3 linked regions of the Oryzias latipes genome follow. The protein of the gene in region 2 interacts with the protein of the main gene of each other region in a pairwise test. Links are inferred from orthologs where the notes say so. Each region holds a gene or a part of one and is shown on either strand. Other genes may lie near its edges.

Region 1 (3,656 bases), on a different chromosome or scaffold from region 2:
CAAAAGCAAGGATGTAAAGATTTTGCAAGTGTATAGCTTGACCTATTTTCTTCTAATTTTATTAGAATTCCTTAAATTCTAGGACCTAACAATGATAAGATTTTTTTTTTTTTGTCCTAATATACAAACTCATAAAAAATTAGAAAAGATTTAATAAAACGTTCCACACAAATGTGCTGTCAAACCTAAAAGAAGGACAGACTGGGCAATTAATAAATGTCATTTACCTAATAAAGAATTACCTGCTTCATCACAGGACATGCACATCATACATATGTGAGCAGAACTGATTAAGCCCAAAACCACACTAAAGCATTATGAATTCCTCAGCCGGGGTTGGAGCATAATCTTTCTATTCGGCAAAGCTCTCCCTGAGCATCAAAGACCCATCTGTGTCTGAATTATCCTGACATGATAACGTCCTCATCGTCCTCATCAGCAGAGTGTTGTGGAAGCAGGAAATGCTTCTTCTGCTGATGATGACGAGCTGACAAAGCGTCACATGCTTTGCAGATGCAGTCAACATCAAAGGCCATGTCAAGAGTCCTGTGCACAAATTTCTCCGACTCGCCTTTCTTCTCCTATTATTTAAACACACACACACTTAAAGGGCAACTAGGTGTGTGTCCTTTCCAGCCAGTGTCAGCAAGATTACTTCCTCTGGGCTATGAAGTAACATAACACGGACAGACATGGTCTATTTGGTGCTTTCATATTTGTGATATGAGCGGTCAAAGCTTTTGCTTGTGCGTGTGTTTTTTAAAGAGGGTTGCAAGAATGTAGGTGTAAATGACACGCATGACATAAGAAAAAACACCAGCTTTCTCTGTCACTCCATCACTGTTGAGGTCTTCCTTCACAGTCCTTCTGCCACTTCTTACATAGAAGGATCAGTTACAGACAGGCTTTGCTAGCTCTCCGTAATGCATTTTCTACATAGATTACAGCAGAGGGCACAAAATATTCTGCCCAGATTTAAACCGAGGGCTTAACTCTTCAGACCCAACCACTGCTGGGGTAAATCCTTATTCTCTGTCAGGTGACAGAGACTGAAGAGGGAGTGTGAACTCCGTCTCTAAGCAACACTCTGAATGGGGAGGGTTTGGCAACACACTGGGGAGGGAGAGATGTCTCTGCATAGCAGCAAACTGTGCTGGGTCACCCACCCTCTGCTGCAGCCATGGCTCCACGCCACCAGCAGAAAACATTTACTCCAATGGTAAAGACAGAGAGGGGGATGTGAAATTAAAATGTAGTAATTCTTTGACAAAAAATATCAGTATGTTCTGAACTCAAATACTTCACAGACTCAGACCATCCTGTGGTCAAAGATGCGTGAACAGAAGCTTGAAAGCAGCAGCTTGTAGTTGAAACCTTTCACTGTTCAGAATAGGTTAATTCATTATGCCTCTTTGTAATAATATTAAACTCACAAAGCTACTTTTTTAGACTTTCCCCTAATGTGTTAAACTTCTAATTCATTTTAGTTACAATTATTAACTCTGTTTATGTTGTTTAACTGATTTCTTAGAGTTTTTAGGTTGGTAAATAAATCTCTATGTATGATCTGTGTAGGGCTCAAAGTGAGTCAAATGTGATGGACTAATGTTCAATAACATCATCAGTACAGCTTATGAAGGAATGTATTAATATTTCAAACTTGGAAAAGACTTCCAACTTGACTGCAAAATGAAAATTTGTTAGCTATTTTTCTTTTAGTGCATCAAAATATAAAACTGCTCTCAATTTTCTGAGCTAAAGCAAACTGTATTTCTGTTTTAGTGCAAATATATTCAGGATGCAACGATTCACCTTTCCCATGATTTGGTTGACACCTCTATTTTTGATTCATGCTTTTGTTTGGGGTCAATAAATGATTTTTGTATCACAAAATATCAACAAAAAAGCAAAATAAATATGAGAAAAATCTATTTTTTAAGTGGCTAATAAGCAAGTAACAATGAAGAAAAAAACTTTCAGTTGGCTCATCCTAAACCTGATGTAGTGTAATAAAACTATAAATCATAAATCTTAAATTTAGCCCAACACACGTGTTTGACACTTTCAACCTTCAACAAGACGCGTGGATGCAACGATGAAGTAACATACGGTTCAGTTTTAAACTGAGGATTGTGGAATTCCCAACATATAAGAGAACATTTTTAGGCATGTGAATCTCTCATTTTAAGTCAGAAAATGTATTGAATATTGTTCTGAGCAGTGGTCTATCTTTATTGATAGTTAAATGAAGTGAAATTGTTACTAAAAATCAGCTATATCTGCTTACATGCTAAGTGCTGTTTTCTCTCGTGTATAAATGAAAGCATGAATGTAATGTAATTCTTCTTTTGACCTAAATTCAAATGTTGTTTTTGATATTAAAGATAGCCATATTATATTATTTATTTTGCTGATTGAATGAAACAAAAAAGTTAATGTGAACGAAGATCTTACAAAACAGTTTATGGAAACTATTTAGATTGTCTCACTGTGTGTAATTAGGCTGCGATAATGTCATTTTTAAAACTGTTGATTCAAGCTCTGCTTTGAAAATGTTTGATATCAAACTGATTTCAAACCAATATGGAGTGTCTCCATATCTGTGACACAAAAACAAGCACAATGTGTCTAAAATATCAACAAATGGGATAAAAAAACAAAACAGATTTACCTTTTCATATGGATCCGAGTCATAGTTGAGTCCAATCCCACAATCATCTGTGATTTCAGAGAGATCTTCATCATCAAACTCCTCCAGGCTGATGTCATGAGCTGGCCTGGAAGAAGGAAATAGTGATTACTGCTTTGAAAGCCAACACTGATGTTTGCAAAATGTCTTTATATTTATTGGTTATTGTCACGGAAAGAAATTCCCATTTGATTTATTCCCACACACTCAGCTCTGTGACGGGGAAACCTGCTCTTACTCACACACTGTCAGGCTCTGTCTGAGTCTCATTTTATTAAACTCAAGCAGCCAAACAATATTTTCTTCCTTCATTCAGAAGTTCTGAAAAATTGTGGTGCATGAAATGAGGTAATATGTAAAGCATGAAAACAACGTGTTCGGTTGACTGGATCTTACACCATACTCTATGTATGTTGAAAAATAAATGACTTGAAAGTTTTCAGCAGCTCTTCACATCAGACAGCCACACACATGTCAGGTTGTGTTGATTAGGATCTATTCCATCTTTGCTTTGATATTCATCAGGATCCCAAGTCTGCAGCAGCTGGCTCTGGAACTGCTGTAGGAAATGCTGCATTGCAGCTTTCCCAAAAGTTCAGAATAGGATGCTCCACATTTAAGGTGTGGATTTTTCCTTGCATCACTAAGTCATACAGGCGTTCCTGTTTAAAGAGCAAATGAAGACATGCTGACTCATGTGGGGGTCAATGAAGGTCACAAACGAGATCATCAATGAGGTGGATGATCTTTCTAATGTGAACTGACAGAGACTGAAAAAAAAGATCTACTTCAGATTATAGTTACCAATGGAATCGATAAAACACATAATGAAGATTTTTGAAGAAAACAAAGAAATTCGAGTTAATATGACACATTATACATTTCTTATGAAAATGCATCTGCAAGGATATAATTTTTGTATGGAATTAATGAATAAAAGACATTTGTATAAGTTTTTTTGTAAACC
Region 2 (3,656 bases):
GAAGATTTAAATTGACCATGTCTGAAATAACATGACTCATTTTAAAAACAAAATCTCACATTTATATTTATATTTTGGTTTTCTCACTTTTGAAACTTTAATGCGAATGAGAACTATAATCTTCTAAAAAAATTGTTATTTTCAACTTTCATTATATATTATTTTACTTTCAGCTTCATTACAACATACTCTTCAAAAACGCAGCAGCTTACCTGCAGCCCAATCCACAGCAATTCCTCGTATCCCATTGCGTCCTATTCCAGACGTTACCATGCTACGTAATCCAGAGCCATCCGGCTTTATCCTTCTGACCCCATTCTGTATTGCCACAGTACTGCTGAAGTCACACCAATAAATGAAACTGGAGGCCATGTGCACATCAATGTGCAAAGCATTACGCCCTGAAAAACAATAAATGTTAACACTCAGTTTGTCTATGTTCTTCCCAGTGGAAATTCTAAGAATTAAGAATTGCATCGCAAACAAGCGCATATAAAATGTTGAAGCTGCTGACCTCTTCCGGCCACAGGGACCATGGCCTCAGAGTGATCTGACCCCTCCAAACTGAAGCCCTTGATAGCAGACAGAGTAGAGATAACAACGTAGGACTGGTAAGGTGCACAGGTTCTGTTGTCTGCATTGAGTTTGAAACCTGTTGCACATGCGCAGGTGAAAAGGCTCTGCGGTCGTGGCAGACAGAGCTGCTGACACGCTCCCAGGTTGTTTGTGCAACCATTTGATGTACCTGCAGATGCTAAAAGACAACTCAAAATGAAAAACACAAGAAACAAAAGCGTACATTTGAAACCCTGAGAAAGAAATACATTTGTGTGTTCCTTACTTTGTCGAAAATGAACTTTCAGAGCCCTTAGTCCTGACATGTTGTTTCTTAACACAACCTTGTTGGCGCCTGTGGACTTGTCCACTCGCTCTATGACCTCAAAGTCACGGTCCGTAAAGTACAGGAAGTTTTGATAGACAGTTACCCCCCAGGGGTGAGACAGGCCTGACACTATGGTGATGCGGTTGCTTCCGTCTGGATCCCCTCGTTCAATCTGTGACAATTCAGAGACATTAGAATTACAGACATTAAAGAACAAAGCACTAATATTCTATCAAGAATTTAGAAATTGAAAGCATTGTGGTGCACCTTGCCAGTACTTGTCACGGCCCAGTACAGCTTGTTTTCTTGGATGTCCACTGTGAGGAACTCTATGTGATCCAGGTTGTCGGTAAACAAGATGGCTGGGTTTTGACCATCCATGTCTGCAGATGCCACCTTGGCAGGGATGCCACTCTCCGTTCCCTGGTCTGTCCAGTACAGTTTGCTTAAGAAGTTACAGGACAAGATGCAGTGTTTTAGTTTTAAAGTATTTATCAATTTTCAATTTTTTAAAAAAAGGCATTCAATTCAATTTTATTTTTACAGTATAGCCCAATACAACAACACAGTTGTCTCAAAATATCACCTAGCTGCAGGGTGCTAAGGTTTTATGGCACTTTAGACTGCACTTTAGACTAACAACTGTACTCCCTTACACCTCAATGTAAGCATTGTCTGTGCCAAGTCAATGTAAAGAGAGTCTTACCCACGTGCTGGATCCACCGTAATGCCAACAGGACTCCCAGCACCAGTTGGAGAGCCGTCATTTGTGATCAACGTTTTTCTGTACTGTAGCTCACCTCTTAACTTTAAAACCTACAAAAAAAGGTTGTTTTCCTGCATAACTGTCATGTGAGACTCCATTTGTTTTCAACATTTTGCATTTACTTGATCATATAACTCACCTCAATAGATTGTGCACCTGGATTAGTGTAATAGAGGTTCTCTGTAATCCAGTCCAAGGCCAGACCAACAGGTGAACCAAGAATGGCTGCTGGAGCAAACTCCTCCCTGTTGGTACCATCAGACTTCACCCTGTGGATCTCACCCTGGTAACAAATGACACACATAAGCCGTAGTCAGTAGTGAATGAGTGGAAAATTAAACCTAATCCCATGAGACAAATTTTTATCTGAATTGGGAGAGTAAAAAATAAAGCACAGCAGTCATTTGCTTTGCTGCAATAACTTACTCACTTACAATGACGTGTTAAAAAAAAAGACTTGAAAGTTTTACTTACTGGATGTTCCACCCAGTATATGATCTGTTCACTGTCATCAAAGTCAACATCATAACCATTTTGAAGACCAGCGACAGGAATCATAACATCATTGTTCTTCTCCTCTGGATTCAGGGGGATGCCTAAGATGATGCTGTCCCTTACAACCACCAAAAACGGATCCTCAACTGGACAAAAACGCACATATGAAACAAATGACAAAAACCAGATCAACTCTAATAAAAGCCAATAATAAACAAGAGCCACATAGTACGCATCAAGTACAGAAAATTTGGTGCAAACGCATTAAAATGTCTGTATCTATAAAATGTATTGACTGATTAATGTTGGTTCCACAGCACGATGTGCTTCGTCGTCAGAGATTAGTCATTGAATGCTTGTGGAACATTTTCATTCTTGAAGTATCGTTAGCTTCAGGGGATGGGGGGGTTGTGCGCTGGTTGCTTTGACTGGAGTGAAACCTGAGATGAGATAAGCTGCTGACCTAGGGCAGACTTCTTGGACTTTGAATTAAAGGTCCCTTGTCTTCTTAAGGGAGCAAGACACGCTTGTATGATTCCTAATATTCATGAAGGGAAGTCGAGTTTATGAGACAATTTAAATGGGAGGCTGTTGACAAGTGCCTGGGACCATTTGGCAGACAAATATGCAGACAAGAGACAATTCTCATTTTTTTAAAAGAAGAATCCGAGAATTGTGTGTTTATATGACGTCTTTTTTTTAGGACAATCAATACCTGATAAGTACACTGGTTTATAAAATATGTGTGTTTTTCTTTTCATCAGCCTAAGAGATGAGTGTTTTCCTCCTTATGCATACCTCTGGTACAGGTGAACTGGTCTGCTGCCAGTATCCAGCCTGAGTGGCAAGCACATGAGTAGTATCTTGGTCCCACAGCAGATAGCAAGCAAATATGAGTACACGGACTATTCAAGCAGTGATTTTCACCTGCAGAGTAATCAATTACACATGTCCACACATTTAGAAAGAGGCAGGTAAGTAATGTCTTGTTTTGGACTGAATTATTCCTGCAGAATTTGCCATACCTGCAGGCTGCCTGGTTGGATGGACTGCTACTAGACCCATAGGCTGAGGGAGGTTGAACAGCATCACTGTCTGGTTCTCCCCGTGCCACTTATGAGCTCGCATCACTCGGTTGATGTATCTGTCGGTCCAATAGACAAAATCCTCAAAAATGGTAATTGCGTGGGGATGTTGCAGTACCTTTTCACAGAGAGTAGCAAAAGGGAAAAAAAAGTGTATCTTACACAGAATATTCAAATATAAGATAATTAACAGTATCACCAAATAAAGTGGATAAAATGTCAACTTGGATACACTCACCAAGTCGCTAGCCAAAACTTGTTTCCTATTATTGCCATTATAATCGCAGTAGTCGATGAAATCCAAGTAGGCGTCAGCAAAGTATAGCAAATTATTTGGATAGTCTATGGTTAGACCGTTGGGCCAGTAAAGTTTGCTGCTGACAATGATAGTCCTCAGCTTCCCATCCATGCTGGCCTTTTCAATGCG
Region 3 (3,656 bases), on a different chromosome or scaffold from region 2:
ATTAAACACACTCTCTATTTTTAATTGTCTAGCAGATGTGACCCTGCAGTGGTGGCAGATCCATTTTATAAAAATCCTGTCACTTAAAATAAAATTGTTTCATGTGTTCTGCAGCCATGTGGCCCTTGTTGCACGTTTGTTTTGTGACTATTTACGGAACTGCAAAGACAATCTCAAGCACCTTGAAACATAACGTAGGTTCATTAATTGTATGATGAGCAAAAGGTATGTGATTTTTGCTAATGGTTCAAGCAAGATTAAAGGTCACAGATCAATTATAGAGTGCAGGAAGGCCCATGAGCTTCATGAGGGGAACCAAGGAGTGGAAGATTGCAGGTTTGGTTCCTGCCTGCTCACCCATATGTCCTTGGGGGTGGAACCCCACATTGCTCCTGGGGGTTTTAGGTTAGCACCAATGTAAGGCAGCAAAGCTGCCATCAGTGTGAATAAACTGTGCCTGTAAAGGGCATTGGCTACTTTATAAGTATCTGCATACCATTTACCATTCAAACAGTATTGATCTTGCTGTTGCTGCATCAGAAGAGACGGTCAAAGCAGGATTACAGGACTGGGTGTGAGTTGGATGAGTCTGCGCTGCATTAGTAAACAATCAGAATTACAGTAGCATCAAATTAAAGAATAGATTGTTGAGGTTGACCAATCGACCAGTATCAGCCCTGCAGCACATTGCTGAAATAAATAAAACAGCAATTCCGTAAATAATTAAAAATATGTTTCATATAAGTAAGCTTTAAAAGTCCTACTCTGATAATCTTTTGATCTATATTAAGAGCATTCCCAGTTGTCTTTTAATTATTGGAATGCCACTTTAAGCCCAAATAAAAAAAACTGTGTGAGCGAGACCACTCACAACCCAGAGGCGAATTATTTCAATTCAATTCAATTTTATTTGTATAGCCCGAATTCACAACAACAGTCGTCTCGATGGGCTTCGTATCAGTAATTACCCATCATCCCTTTATTTACACTCTCTCCCGCTATCTTACAGCCCCCCAAAACCCCAGGCTTACATTAGCAGTGCAACAATAATAGCGAGGAATGTTGAGGCTATCCAGCCGAACAGTTTTGAGCCAGATGCCAGCTCAGAAGAGGAAAACAAAGACGTGAAAAGATCCATTTGTCTTCAACTGAAAGCATCAGAATGGAGCGGAGCACAGAGTATTTTTTATGGCTGCCCCCTGATTCACCACAATTTTAATAAAGAAATACTCATAAACTTTGTTTTATGAGAAAAATGCTTCAAGAACACGCTGAAAACGCCCATAAACACAATTTGTATTGGTATGGGTCCTTAAAAGGAACCTGTCAGTACAAATCCTTTGGCCAAACAAGGGCCAGATCAAAACTGAGGTAAACTCCTGGTGCCTTTTAATTTGCTGCTCATTATGTAGCTTCTAACCTTGATTGTAATTTTTCCTCCTATAGCTTGATCTTCAAAAACACTGTCATAGAAGACGCCTAACACAAGTCACGAGCACTAGCAGCATTTCATGCACAGGCAGGGCCAGTAACCAAAGTGGGGGTGGGGGGTGTTACTGACAATTCATGCTATTGTTCAGTCTGATAAACACATCCTGTCACAGAAGTTATTTGAATAATTTCAGTGTTGATGTAATGGACATTGTTTTTTTCCTGATTAACACCACGATAAAATGTTGACACTTAGACTTTAAGATCAACCTATAAAGACAAACAGAAGCAAGGGTGTTCTTCTCTTTAGATTCAGTGCCAGAAACTGTCTCTGTGGATGAGGTTAGTCAAATCCTACCTGAGTCCGTGGCACAATGGGGAAGAGGTTAAGGGTTGTGGGTCTCTTGGGTCTGTAAGTATCCATGGTAACAGGTGCTGCAGGATCCTTAATGACAGGTGAAAGTGGGAGAGCAGATGCCTTTAAAGGCTCCTTATCAACACAGTAACTGTCAGCTCCGTCGATAAGGTCCAAATGCAGCATCTCTGCTTGAAGCTGGCCAACTGCTCCCAGCTCCGCCCTCCCTGACAGGCTATTGGTCCCCCCCCTCACACGGCCCTGCAGAGATTGGACAAGAAATGCCATCAGTTAAAACTAAAATAGAGAAGGGAGAGATAGAGATACACCATGTTGCACAGATGATGTGGAGACTGAGCTGGCCAATTGGAGGCAACTCTCTCATCAGCATTAACATTCTCACTGCCAACTGCTGAACCAATTCAGTGCATTTCTAAACCTTTTCCTTTCTAAGCAAAAAAATTGAATCATAAAACTAAAATATTAAGATGGTTAGAATCTTTGCAAAAGCTGTTATAATAAATTGTATCCTGATACTTATGCCAATTGCCTAAAAAATTAATTTTATTTATTTTGACATTACATCAGAAGGACAAATTCCTACTATTGGCCATCCACAAGCTACAAAATACATGACAAAAGGCTGGGCTTGTATTGTTTACTGTTAGGTTCTGGCTAGTCTGATGATGGAAAAATGATGACGTTACTTTAATGATCACATTTAACCAAATTAGAAAATGATACCCATTAAATACTCAGAGCTTTCGAATTTTATGTGTCTAATGTTATTAGTTTGAGTTGACGTGTAAACAAATTCCGTTTAACCATTTCAACCAAGAAGAAAATGTGAGGTAGTGGGTCAAAGGGAAACATACCAGTTAATTCTACCCTAATTTGCAATGCAATCCCTGCTGTTGAGCACAAACAACACACACGGTCACCGCTAGTTCATCCTGTTGGCTTTGGCTGCAACATCTGAGGCTCGGATAAGCCTTTAATGGTATTTCCCTCTTCGTGTGGTGTATGTGTTCTGTTGAATCAAAGCCCAGCCCATACAAATGCAAAACAAATATGCTAGACGGAAGAAAAATATAGGAAAATCGGTGGCCAACAGCCAAAAAGAAAAAACTTAAGCATATAATTTTTCAAAAGAATTGGGAACCTGACAGAATGCTGAAAAACACATATCACCGGTGGCTGCAACCTTTAGCAGTAACAGTTACTTGTTGTGTACATACATGTAAATGCAGTTATATACATTAAGAACTTTGTCTCTGAAAAGCAACTAGACACTGCTGTTCAGTAAAAGATACAAATTTGTGTTTTAAGATTATTCTAACCATAATTCAGTCTGACTGTGGATCCAACCTTTTATCATCATTTTGATCATCTTTCTGACATGCAAAAAATCTAAACACAAAACGTTATTAACTATAAAAAACAAATTCATTATTTATTCAAATAAACAACATTTAATGCATTGGCTGCACGGTGGCGCAGTGGTTAACAAGAAGGCCCCCTGTTCAAGTTCTGGCTGGGGGGCCTGAAACAGAATACCAATGGGGGACCTTTCTGTGTGGAGTTTACATGTTCTCCCCATGCAAAAACATGCTTCATAGGTTAATTGGTCACTATAAATTGTCCATAGGGTGTGAATGTGAGAGGAGGGGATAGAAAAGAAAAGTATGTTTTGTTATGTAATGACATCAAAATTTGTTTTAATATTGTCTTGTAATTTTGAACATAACTGATAACACTAGCCCTGAAGGTTTGTGGGACCAACAGCGCAGGGATATAAAATGTGACGAAATCTTTCTTATATGTTCTAATCAAGATAAACGTTAATGAAAATAAACTGAAAAAATAAAAA

What was found.
Region 1: the proteins of lrp2 (region 2) and mapk8ip2 interact in a two-hybrid assay, tested with the Homo sapiens proteins (2 studies listed by BioGRID). The link is inferred for Oryzias latipes from reciprocal best matches to the Homo sapiens genes LRP2 and MAPK8IP2.
Region 3: the proteins of lrp2 (region 2) and mapk8ip1 interact in a two-hybrid assay, tested with the Homo sapiens proteins (2 studies listed by BioGRID). The link is inferred for Oryzias latipes from reciprocal best matches to the Homo sapiens genes LRP2 and MAPK8IP1.

Annotation. Positions count from the first base shown.
Region 1 is NC_019864.2:20,573,260-20,576,915, forward strand, and holds part of mapk8ip2 (C-Jun-amino-terminal kinase-interacting protein 2), read right to left. Parts: intron 2,778-3,656; coding exon 2,672-2,777; intron 1-2,671. UniProt on the Homo sapiens protein: The JNK-interacting protein (JIP) group of scaffold proteins selectively mediates JNK signaling by aggregating specific components of the MAPK cascade to form a functional JNK signaling module.
Region 2 is NC_019879.2:21,650,423-21,654,078, forward strand, and holds part of lrp2 (low-density lipoprotein receptor-related protein 2), read right to left. Parts: coding exon 3,468-3,656; intron 3,348-3,467; coding exon 3,170-3,347; intron 3,072-3,169; coding exon 2,943-3,071; intron 2,291-2,942; coding exon 2,124-2,290; intron 1,933-2,123; coding exon 1,789-1,932; intron 1,700-1,788; coding exon 1,590-1,699; intron 1,329-1,589; coding exon 1,151-1,328; intron 1,056-1,150; coding exon 842-1,055; intron 755-841; coding exon 515-754; intron 402-514; coding exon 213-401; intron 1-212. UniProt on the Homo sapiens protein: Multiligand endocytic receptor. Acts together with CUBN to mediate endocytosis of high-density lipoproteins. Mediates receptor-mediated uptake of polybasic drugs such as aprotinin, aminoglycosides and polymyxin B.
Region 3 is NC_019861.2:7,572,456-7,576,111, forward strand, and holds part of mapk8ip1 (C-Jun-amino-terminal kinase-interacting protein 1), read right to left. Parts: intron 2,048-3,656; coding exon 1,790-2,047; intron 1-1,789. UniProt on the Homo sapiens protein: The JNK-interacting protein (JIP) group of scaffold proteins selectively mediates JNK signaling by aggregating specific components of the MAPK cascade to form a functional JNK signaling module. Required for JNK activation in response to excitotoxic stress.